2 linked regions of the Neurospora crassa OR74A genome follow. The protein of the gene in region 2 purifies or fractionates together with the protein of the main gene of each other region. This does not show direct contact. Links are inferred from orthologs where the notes say so. Each region holds a gene or a part of one and is shown on either strand. Other genes may lie near its edges.

Region 1 (5,675 bases), on a different chromosome or scaffold from region 2:
ACCATCGACCAGAGTTTGGGTCACCTTAAGATCTGAATACTTGCAGTTTCATATCATAGACGCTGGATGGGTTCGCTAGGTAATGACTCGATGGCCTGAAGATGGCATCTTCCCACAGGACAACGATGGAAAAGATCTACGTAGTATACTAACATCTAGACAGGAGGGAAAAAAGCAAAAAGAGAATGAGATGTTGACATTGCCAGATTCAGTTTGCTATAAAGAAAATCCAAATCCCACGGCAAAGAAGACCAGGACTAACTACTCTTCATGCTTTGCTGGATGGCCCTGGCAGCAATTGCAAAATGTTCAAAAAAAGATGGTTGTGACTCGGATACCGGGAGTCGAACCCGGGGCTGTTGAGAGAGCAGTCACTCCTAAGTAGTGAGAGTCAACGATGTTACCGCTACACCATACCCGATTTGGAATGGTTTCCGATTTTTATCGATGACCTCACAAGATTGACACACTATATAGGCCAGACTGCTGGCTCCAACGTCTATCATGTTCAAGCAACACTCCTTTTTGTCTTGGAAAACCATACACCCTGGCGCATGGGGTCAGAAGGTAGCTCAAGCCCTGGCAAGTATGGACCACCGTCAACGTTGAGACTCGCACACCGTTAGTGATTTAGTCCTGCCCGGCATCTTCACGACATGAAATACCACTCTCGAGGGGCCGGAAGTCACGTTGAAGGAGACGCTCGGTTAAAACTATTTCCAGTAGGATCTCAAGGTGGATTGTTTACGATTCAGAATCTCTTTACCTTACGAATCGCAGAACTCCATGATTCCGGAGAAGGTGTTGCGTAAGGGTATGGAAACTACAGTAAGCCATCGTCTTTCCAGATATGTGGTCAAGTTGCTTTGGCGACAGCTATCAGCCTTCCGGTGCGCAGGCATGCAAAGGGACCGAACATCTGATTTTCATTGAAAAAGAACCGCCATTCAACGGGGAACAGAAGAGCTTGATCCAGCATGTCAATCTGCCGGAGGAGAAGTTTGGAAGAAGAGGATAAGGGACAAAAAGCTCAACCGCCCAAGTCAAAGTCCGAACTGACCAGCTGCCGGCTTTGAGAATTGTACCACCAGCACCGCGCACCGGGCACTGGTTTTCTAGCCCATCGACGGCTTGACCACGGAGAGAACCTGCTTAAACCCTCTGAATCCCAATTGTATGTACCCCGAGGGGGATTCGAATTGACTGGTCATATTTGCCAGCCGCACCAGCTCCAGTTAACCCCGTTGAGTCTTAGGATATGTTCGCTCTATATCTAAGATAGCGCCGGCCATCTTGCCAGAGGCGTTCCGAAGTTGAAGATGTTCTGGTACTGAATGGCTGGAGATAGGCAACGTGAAGACAATGCCTGCCCTAACTGGTATCGCGGTTTCTGCTGCGCTCGCTGTTACAACGAGACGCACCCACTTGGGAGTAGGGACAGTAAGCTATGTTGACCCCATCAATATGCGAGTAATAGGAGAAGAGTATTCGGTCAACCCTCCCGCGCCTGATGATGTCCTCGCCCGAGGCATATTCTGACGCTGGCTTCGACAAGCGTCCACGCAACCTTGACCTGGCTTACAGCATTTCAACCAGGTGACCGGCGCTTAATGAAGATACAATTGACTTAACCGACTTCTACGTCTGGTCCTTCGTTAGTAAAGAGCTTGATGAATATTGTACCTTATGAAGCTAAGGTAGTGATGGGTATCGAGGGCTTCAATGTGGGTACGAAGATGCCGAGAGAGAATGACAATTGAGTTTCGATCCTCTGTATGTTATTACGATGGTCTTCGGAGTGTCATATCTTGCTAAAATGGTAATCGAAGGATCAAATACAATAATGGAGGGGCGATACATCAATGTGACTGTTTGAGGTAAGTGACGTTGACGGCAGTTAGTCTGGGAAGAGAACTCGGGCAGTACATGTAATGCCTGAACCAAGATGTTGACTGGCAGATAGCTACCAAACACGCATTTAAATCATCAGTTCCGAAACTCTCCCTGCCGATAATGAAAACTTGTAGCTCGCGTTGGGTCCTAAGGTAATGCCGAATCAGATAAGTAATGAAAGAAGTACTGGTTAAACTACCTGCATCTGATACAGAAAGTTCGTTGAGGATCCCAATGACCTCGCGTGAAGCCTTTCACAAGTTCTTGCGCAGTGCAAGTCCAAGTTCCTCCCAAAGTCCCAGGTCGTTATCTCCCGCTGCTCAGGGCACGAACAGGGTGGCACGTGCCCCCTATCTACTTAGGAGCCAAGCAGTGCTTGTCACTACACTCACGCCACCCTCCTTCGGCGTCACCCAGCCCAAGGTTTTGGAGAACCCCCCGATTCCAATTTCCCCATCAAAGCGCACATGGAGAAGACGTGACGGAACAGCTGCAGAAGGCCAAACGACTTTCTTTGCGTCGACCAGGGCCCCGTCTTTCAGTCCGATTGTGCCATCGTCAGCCCCATCCCACCACGCAACAAACACATTCTTTCTCGCAACAAGCTTCTCAAGGCTCTACAAAAAGGCGGTGCTGTCCCGTTCAACTAAAAGTAAGTTAAAGAGTTGGGCTTCAAGGTTCCTGGTCCAGTCCCCTCCCCATCCCTTGCTCCAGCCAGGTCCCGTCTTTTGGAAGGTCCACGGGAGCGGACCCCTCCCCACTTTTGTATTCCTTTTCCTCCACCATTGCATCGGTGACCAACAACCTGACCACCTTGGCCTCGCTCCCACAGCCCGTTGCGCCAGCCTGACCCAAACCACCACTTTTCGATCCCGCTCATTCAGGTTTCTCTCACTGACCTGCCAACTTCAGTTCCTTTACACAACCAGGAGTTGACCGTATTGCACGCGACACAATCGCGACAAGCAGCTCTTCAATCAATCATACCAGCAACATGTCGTCTGTGGTGAACGAGGGGGAGAAGCCCCAAGAGGCCGCTCAGGAGCAACAGGAGGAGCAGCAGCAGCAGCAGCAGCAGCAAGAGCAGCAAAACGCGGGAGACGATGTCAACGATGATGAGGTGCGCCAGCTCCGGCCCAAGCCCAGCGATACGATCCACCGTGTTTGCTTCCACGCGGAGTGCAGGCGCTAACACCAAGTAATCGTGAACAGGAGGAGATCTCGGCCATGAAGCGCCGTGTCGCCGAGATGGAAGAGGAGGCTGCCAAACTCCGCGAGATGCAAGCTAGTCTGGACCAACAGCATCATGAGCTCACCGAGAACAAGGAGGATATCGACAGTCGGAGCATCTTTGTCGGAAACGTCGACTATTCGGCTTCGCCTGAGGAGATCCAGGCGCACTTCCAGAGCTGCGGGTCCATCAACCGTGTCACCATTCTCCTCGACAAGTTTACCGGTCAACCCAAGGGGTACGCATCTCCTCTTCTTTCCCAGCTGATTACCCTCAAGTACATACACTGACGGTGTCATTTATCCAATAGTTACGCGTATGTCGAGTTTACCGAGCCTAGCCTGGTCGCACAAGCCCTTGTTCTCAACGAGAGTGTCTTCAAGGGCCGCAACATCAAGGTCGTCCCCAAGCGCACGAATATTCCCGGCATGTCGCGCGGCGGTCGCGGCGGTCGAGGTTCCTTCCGCGGAGGCGGTCGCGGGGGCTATTTCGGTGGACGGGGCGGTTTCCCTCCTAGGGGAGGCTACCGTGGCGGCTACCGTGGACGCGGCCGAGGAGGCTACGCTCCTTACTAGTTTTTTTTGGTGGTGGTCTGACATACGGCACATGATCCCGCATCCATCAGGACAATCAGAGCCGTATGCGGCCCCTCTCTGACATCCGCAGACACTACCTGGAATTGTGAAGATGGGCTCGATCTCATCTGAGCTGGTATCACTATCAGGCAACCCGGTGTACGTGTTGCTCATGATTCATGGGAACGTTTTTTTTTCTCCCTTTGATGGCTGTAAGATTAGGATATATCAGCAGGGAAGAGGAGGACACTTGAATGGTGGAGGAAGGGAAGGGTTCGTTGTCTTGGCCTGTTTTTGCACCATGGGAGCAATGGGATTTTCAAAGTTTTCATTTTGGCTGCGCGTATCGGCAAGGCGTCAATGGGTGGGAGGGTAAAACGAAGGAAAACGCCAATTCCATATGCTCTTTTATTTCTTCTTCGTTTATTCATGTCACGTTCAATTTTTGTATTTGATATTTGGCATAAGCGCCGCCTACTACTTTTCGGTTCGACATTTGCTACGGCTATGTCTGCTCAGGGGAATCATCAGCGAAGTTGCTTAATATGGGCTGTCTGTTACCGCTAGCCATCACCACATAATGACTAGCTTTGGCAACAATTGAAGCTATCACTTGACACTTCAATCTGCGAACATGTGCTCGAATTAGCGTAGCGATGATACTTTATTCACACCGCTATTGTTGTTCCGACACTAAAAACAAAGAAAGAGAAAAAAAAGAGTCCACGGATCGTCAGATGCCAGGTGCCGCCGCCTTCGCCGCGAACCTCCATGTCAACATTTTCCACCGAAATTGAACGACTCCAATATACAAAGGGCATGCAAATGACAACTCAACAGACACCTGCGCAAGACATCTTTGCTCCGACAAGACCGAAGGCGGTTGTGGTGAAATTCAAAGAGGCTGGTTTTTGAGGTATAGTAGAGTGAGTACTTACCTAGGTAGAAGAGCTATACGCGGATTGCGCATTACCTCTACCACTTTTTAGAAGTGTCGAACAAAGGGCGCTCCACATTTGCTGTCTCGCTTCGTTCAATGATGACAGCCACTAGTGTAGTGTACAAACCTAGTGTACATATGATGGGTACCTCTATGCTTCCATGAACTCCCCATCGTCAAAAGCACCTCAACAAAAAAAGAAACCTCAATTGAAAATCCAGAGATGCAGTAACGCCCCGCAGTTCCGTCGCACGCGAGGGGTATCAAAATGGAAATGACGGGCGTTTATGTCGGTGATGCGCTATTGTTGGAACAGCAGCGTCTCGGTCGGCGGCAACGGGGGTACACTACATGTACTGGGATACGCTAAGTAGCGACCTAACGCCTTTTTGCACCCCGTGCGGTGTATCGTCGTTATGGGATGTAGAGGTGCTGTGCGTTGAATTGTCAAGGTTGAGGTTTGAAGTGTTCACTTTCCTAATTGACTGCCTCTGGAGGTTTCTTCAAAGTTCGGTAGTGGCTTGATATCTGGTAGATCTGCGCAAGATCATCATCATCCCCGATCGTTGGGCTACCTCTTGTGTAGAGTTTTTGGAACAGACAGCTTCTACTACAATCTTGGCGTTTCCTGGAGAGACCTCGGAGCTTGGGGCGGTCGGTGGAGGTGCTTTCCTACCCCTAGTCATGGAAAGGCATTCAGGCCAGCATAGCTACCTATTCTAATTCTCTGTGTCGATGACTGAGCCGTGATCCATGGGATATTTTCCTGACAGGGCATCAACTCCTAAGAAAAGACACGGGACTATGTGATCCATGTACACCAAGGTTGCTCTTTGTGTGCCAATGATGTTGTTGATGTTGATCTCGAGATCTGGATGCCGTGCCAAGCATGGAGTGAATGTGGCCCCCTGGGAGTCTGGGACTCGAATGACCCGACCAACTGCTTAAGAGAAGAAGTCAAGTACCGCACTGTGCGCACCTTCCGCTTCAGTTCTCGCTCTTTGCAGGCTTCTGCTAACTAGTTCCTGGCCTAAAA
Region 2 (5,647 bases):
TTCTATTAGCCTGTCTGTTCTATTTGACGTGTGTGAAACTGGTCTGAACTTATAACGAACCATTTCTTCTGCCCATCGTCCCAGACACATTCCTCCACTTTATGTGATAACTTGATGAACCTCGTCGCTCCGAATTTCTCAGCCACGTCCTGCAGATATTTCTGGATCTCGTGGCCTGGCGCATAGAGGTTGGACCAGTTCGGGTTGGGCGCAAAGGAGAATTGGTATGAATGAGAGGGGATGTCGCAGGCGACGCCTTTTGTTCGTTTTAGCTGTCGGTTAGTTGATCTGCTTTGGTTTCCTACTCCTGTTTGGGGACCACGACCAGGTCGTACATACCTGGATATGTGTTCACCCACCTTTTTGTTTCTTGCAGTATCAGTGTCTTTGCTTGGTGAATGACTGGCGGTCCAAATGAGTTCATGAGGAAAAGCGTGGACTTACCATGTCCCTCCGACGCCTTCGTATTTCTCATAGACCACTAGCTCGACATTTCGTAGCTTCTCTGGTATTCTTCACAGCACACCCATGTTTGTCAGTATTGAACCGGTGGTACAACTATTTCATCAGCCTAAAGCGGGAGGTAGGGAAGCAACTCACCTAATCGCTGCCCCGATACCACTATACCCAGCGCCAATGACAACTACCCTCAACGGTCTAAGATTTTCCACTACCGTGTCTTTAAGTGTAAACTTTTTCTTGAGGTCACTTCCGTCCATGTGCCCGTTCGTAGTTGTAGCCATCTCCACTGATATCTCTTGACGTATACTTGTTGCGACGTATTTGTTTTGTCAAAGGGTGTAGGTATTAGATCGTCAACCTCATAGTCGAAGACAGACCAGCAGCCAAGGTATTTGCCTCCAAACCTCTCTCTTTCTCTGTATATATACATTTCATCAAACATACCATGAGCCGAAACTTACCACTTCCTACCCCTCACAATCAAATACCCCTGGTCGGACTCAGGACGGTTCGGTAACGGCTTTGCTCAACCGAACCGCACGGCGGCCGCAGGCCTTCGATCTGCGTCATGGACTAGTGCTTTGTGCAAGGGTCTTGGTCTGGGTTTCATTACATCCGCGCCATCTGAGTGGTTGTAGTTGTGAATCCGAGAACGTAGTATATATATAAAACTGCTTTAGTTGCCTAAACCCCAGTGCTCCTTAGTCCCTTACTGACTATCCACAGGAGTGCGGGAGAGGAGGTGGGAGTTAGGTATAGAAAGATCATGAGACTAGTAGTATTATGGAATGTGGGACATCTGCAGGTGCTGATCTATATACGTGTACGGCATTAAGGGGTCATAAGAGGAGTGATTACATGGATTTTGGATAGTGTAAGCGGCGAGTTACTTCTAAACAGAAATCCGGATGCCCAAGAGAAGGGCATCCCGTCGCTAAACTCTCGTTAGGCAGCGGTGAATTCATACGAGTATAATTTAGCGGAGAGCATATGGGGTTAAGGTTGCGAATGCGGGGTGATTGATCTATGATACTCCGGGCCCGAGTGAAGAAGGAATGGCAGTGATGGTGTGGCTATTGAGCTCTCGGCAGACTAACTCTCAGCAGCCATTGGATGAACAGGATAACATTTTGCGGTACCTGCTTGGAGCTTGCCGCAGCACATCAAGGTCGACGTTCACCACAGGCCAATCATTGTAATCATGCACCAAGTGCGGTCATGCACTCCTATATCTATAATAAATTGCCTAGTCTTGGCTGTTCTTCAGAGTGACATCTTCTTTTCTCTCTTTTTTTTCCTTTTGCTTTTCTCTTCCTCCTTTTTTTACTTTTATTATCCTCCTATACCCACTGCCAACCCGGAAAGTGTAACGGGTTGCGCTACAGAAAACAGAAACATCAAAGGGTATCAATAAGCCAGCAAGGCTTAGGAAAAACCAAGGACCAAAACAAACGAGCCAGGACTGCACTAATCAAAACTTGATGAAGTCCTTTTGCTCGGCGAAATCCAAGTCAGGATCGTCGTCCTGGCCAACAAACTCGTCAACGTCGTCCGAGTCGATATCGTCGCTATCGACTGAATCGTCGTCGCTGGATAGATCCTCCATCTCCGCGTCGTCGCGGGCATTGACCCTGCGCAAGACGCTTGCCCTCTCCCGGTGCGGCAGTTTACAGCCCTTGGTATTACACACGCCAGTGTTGCTGAAGTCGGGACATTCGAAAACATGGCGGTTGATGCAGCTTGCACCCTTCTCGCAGTAGCCGTAGAGGCCAAATTCTCGGCAGACCGAGGCAGCTGGAGACACCTTTGCGTGAGTGAATTTGCAGTCAGGTTTGGTGCAACTGTCCTTAATGAAGTGCAAGCACGTGGGGGTGCGTTCCGCGGAGAGTTCGTGCGAAAGATCGCAAGAGTCACCGTTGATGCATTCTTCTTGTTGGAGAAAGTCCTTGCAAATGGCAACCTTGGCTGGGTCGTGGATATATCGGCACCGAGGGCCTTTGGTGCATGAACCTGCGGGGGATGTCAGTATAAACATCGTTTGGACTTACCAGACCCAGTCATTTCGACGTGGTGTCGGTTAAGGTTCCGAAATCTGAAAAGTTGGAGTTACCGGTCATGGAGAAATTGCGACAAGGCACGTTGACCTTCTTGAAAGCGCCGGATTGCCTATCGCAAACTAGAATTAGCGGATGATTCAAAAGGGACCGGGCCACATACCGCTGCGCTTTAACAATACCATGGCGGTACAAATTCCCGTTCTTGCTGCGGTAGAACTTGACACCGCCTACGATAGCCATTTTCGGGGTCGGCCCTGAGTTGAGATCGCCTGTGAAAGGGTGAGTATTCGGCACATCCAGCACTTCTGGCCGCGGTTTCGACGCACCGGGAATCTTGACAAGTTTGCTTCCGTTCTTCGTAACGGCAAAACGTATACCCTGCACGGTTAGTTCATATTGGTTTGGTGCCGCTGCCGACCGATCGCCAGCACGGTGTAGATGGTTGATCAACTTGGTTCGTTCCAGATCATCTCTCTGCTGTTGCTTCTGGCGCAGAGTTTGCTCAATGGCCCGAGTGCGAGCCTGCGCTTCCTTATGATAGATGGACGAATTGATGATTTGAAGGTGACGGTCGTTCTTTGCTACCCAGGACGACGGGGACGAGTCGAGCGCGGCGCCTGAACTGGGCGGACCTGCTTTACCTTGTTGAGACGCGCCGTTCAGCACCAAGGTCCTGTGACGGTGGGCAGGCTTGGTGTAATGGGCGCGGGTCGGGTATGGGTAGCCTCCTCTTTGATGACGCCAGCTTCCAGAATAACCTGAGTCTTCAAGACCGTCAATACCAGCACGGTTGCTGTTATGATACTCCACGGACGTACGGTGATGCGGTGGTGCGTGGCTGCTCTGCGGCGGAACAAGGCCTGCTTGTTGATTTTTGTGCTGGTTGATCTGACCGGCCACACGGGCAATCCTCTCCATCAGCTCGTGTTCCTCGGCAGACATTGTCATCTTGTTATCTTTTTGTTCGAATCCAAGAGCCAATACAAGTAGCTGTTGCTGCAATTTCAATATTAAAAGCGTATCGGTATATTGCGGTCACGTTCCACGATCAAGCAGTACCGGTCTTTGTCGGTTATTTAGATTGAAGAAAATATGATAAAGGTCGCGATGTTGCTGGTGCCGTTTGTTCGATGCGATAAGGTAACGTTGTTGTTGGGATGATTGTGGCGGCGCGCAAAACAGAGGATGATGGGTGCAAGAAGGATTTTGGTTCGGATGTTCAAGGACGGCGGCGAACTGCCAGTGATCTTTTGAGGGGGGATGCGCCAGAGGTCAGCCAATCACAAACGGCCAAGGTCGCTATCAGAGAAAGAAGGCCATGGAGTTAAGTAAGTAATGCGTCAACCAGTCAGGGCACGACCAACCAGGCAGGACCTGAACATTGGGAAGCTATGCTGTGCACATATGATAGTATGGACACTACCTACGTCGAGGAAAGCAGTTTATGCAAGATACCAAGCCTCAATGCCCCGTGGTGAGCTCACATTTCCTCCTAATCAGCTACCATCGGCTTGTTTCCAAAAAGACCCAAGGCACTCTTCATACCTTACTTCCACTTCTGTTCCTTTCTTTACGCCCAAAAAAATAACGCCGGATACAAACAAGAACGCTCCCGTAGACAGCCATACTGCAACCTATGAGACTCCAAGTTTGAACTGCCCTCAGAGAAATCCAAAACCACAGGCGCCTTCACCAGACTGAAGTCAACCTTTAACTGAAAGATGTATGCAGGATCCTAGGTACAGCTAAGTACTTGCCACCAGAGACCCCACTAGCCGCTCCGCTTGCGGGAGAGCGGGTCGCGCTAGGATCAGGTAGCGGCTTACATAATAGTATACAGGTACGTATCCAAGGTTCAACGGTCTTTGTCCTGACGTTGACGTTCGCGGCTGCTTTCAACCAGGCAACCTCTCTACAACAACAACGACCACGACAATCACGCCCCAACTTTCCGTCCACGCTACCACAAGACGCCGACAACCAGCGAACGAAAGGCCATTTTACGCACATATTAATATTTGCTAGTCTTGTCACAGCGACCAACTCCAATCATGGCCGATCCAATGAGAATTAAGCCTGACCCGGACGCAGCCTTCGCCGAAGACGAGCTTGACGAATCAGCCGACTTGGGATTCTATGATCCTAATGATTTTCCCTTGAAAAACGCTTATCTGGCTCGCCTTCCGGGGTATGTCTGGCAAGCATGGGCTTCGCTTCCCGATGATGCTGAGATTCAGATTGGCAAAGTTCGTCGAATTGTGCAAGATGGTCAACCGGAGGTCAGTAGCAGCACTCCCTGACGAGCACTACGTTTTCAATAGGTTACTGAGACTGTTTGGGCTTTCAGAAGCTACAAATTCTCCTCGACGATCTTCCACAACACTACGATATTCCCAAGGAATACAACCTCGACATGGTGGATGCCAACGTCAACAACACCTTCATCTTTGGTGAACATGATCACCCAAGTTATGCCGCCAAGAACAAGGAGCGGGCTGAGGCTCTAGCTCAGGGCATACCTGCACACCTTGTGCGCCAGCAGATGAAGCAGTCGGAGCCACCTCAGGAGCGCGGAAAGAAGGGACAGCAGTACACCAAGAAGGCCATCCCGAGTTCGTTACACCCAATCTCAACTGGCCTGCCTTGATAGGTGCTAACTTAAGAGTTCAGAACAAACGGCGATTGCAGCAACAATCAAGCGTGAGGTTGTCGCCACTCCTTTGGAAAATCCCGAGACAGACTATGCGCTTGCTGCCCGAGGCCAGAAGCAGACGGCTCCCAAACATACAGTACAGGTCCTGGATCGTCTGCCACCCAATGGTATCACGGATCCCAAGGGTTGGGAAACATTTCTGGTGCGTGTACTTGAAGACATATCACCACTAGAGCTTTCACTAATAGCAAACAATAGCGCACGACCGAGGCTCCGAGCAAGGCCAAGAAGATGGACAACAAGACAGCTCGCTGGCCAGAGAACCAGCTGCTCGACGAGCTCGCCAAATGCTTCTCCGTCTACATGTACTGGTCCATCAAGGCGCTGCGCTCTCGGATTCCTCAGCCCGAGGCGTTCATTCGAGAGTGCTTGGACAAGATTGCCGTTATTCACCGAACTGGTACTTTTGCAAACC

Evidence for each region. The genes of interacting proteins can lie anywhere in the genome.
Region 1: the proteins of NCU03048 (region 2) and NCU03946 purify together in Schizosaccharomyces pombe (affinity purification with mass spectrometry; 3 studies listed by BioGRID, with this or other methods). This does not show direct contact. The link is inferred for Neurospora crassa OR74A from reciprocal best matches to the Schizosaccharomyces pombe genes red5 and pab2.

Annotation. Positions count from the first base shown.
Region 1 is NC_026506.1:2,201,176-2,206,850, forward strand, and holds NCU03946 (polyadenylate-binding protein 2), read left to right. Parts: upstream 1-2,522; 5' UTR 2,523-2,887; coding exon 2,888-3,013; intron 3,014-3,105; coding exon 3,106-3,362; intron 3,363-3,434; coding exon 3,435-3,699; 3' UTR 3,700-4,575; downstream 4,576-5,675.
Region 2 is NC_026501.1:8,296,349-8,301,995, forward strand, and holds NCU03048 (CCCH zinc finger protein), read right to left. Parts: upstream 3,736-5,647; 5' UTR 3,468-3,735; coding exon 2,846-3,467; intron 2,789-2,845; coding exon 2,680-2,788; intron 2,629-2,679; coding exon 2,573-2,628; intron 2,473-2,572; coding exon 1,934-2,472; 3' UTR 1,656-1,933; downstream 1-1,655. Other genes in the region: NCU03049 (flavin-binding monooxygenase), read right to left, coding at 61-256, 340-359, 445-513, 601-743; NCU03047 (hypothetical protein), read left to right, coding at 4,571-4,798, 4,867-5,131, 5,190-5,374, 5,431-5,647.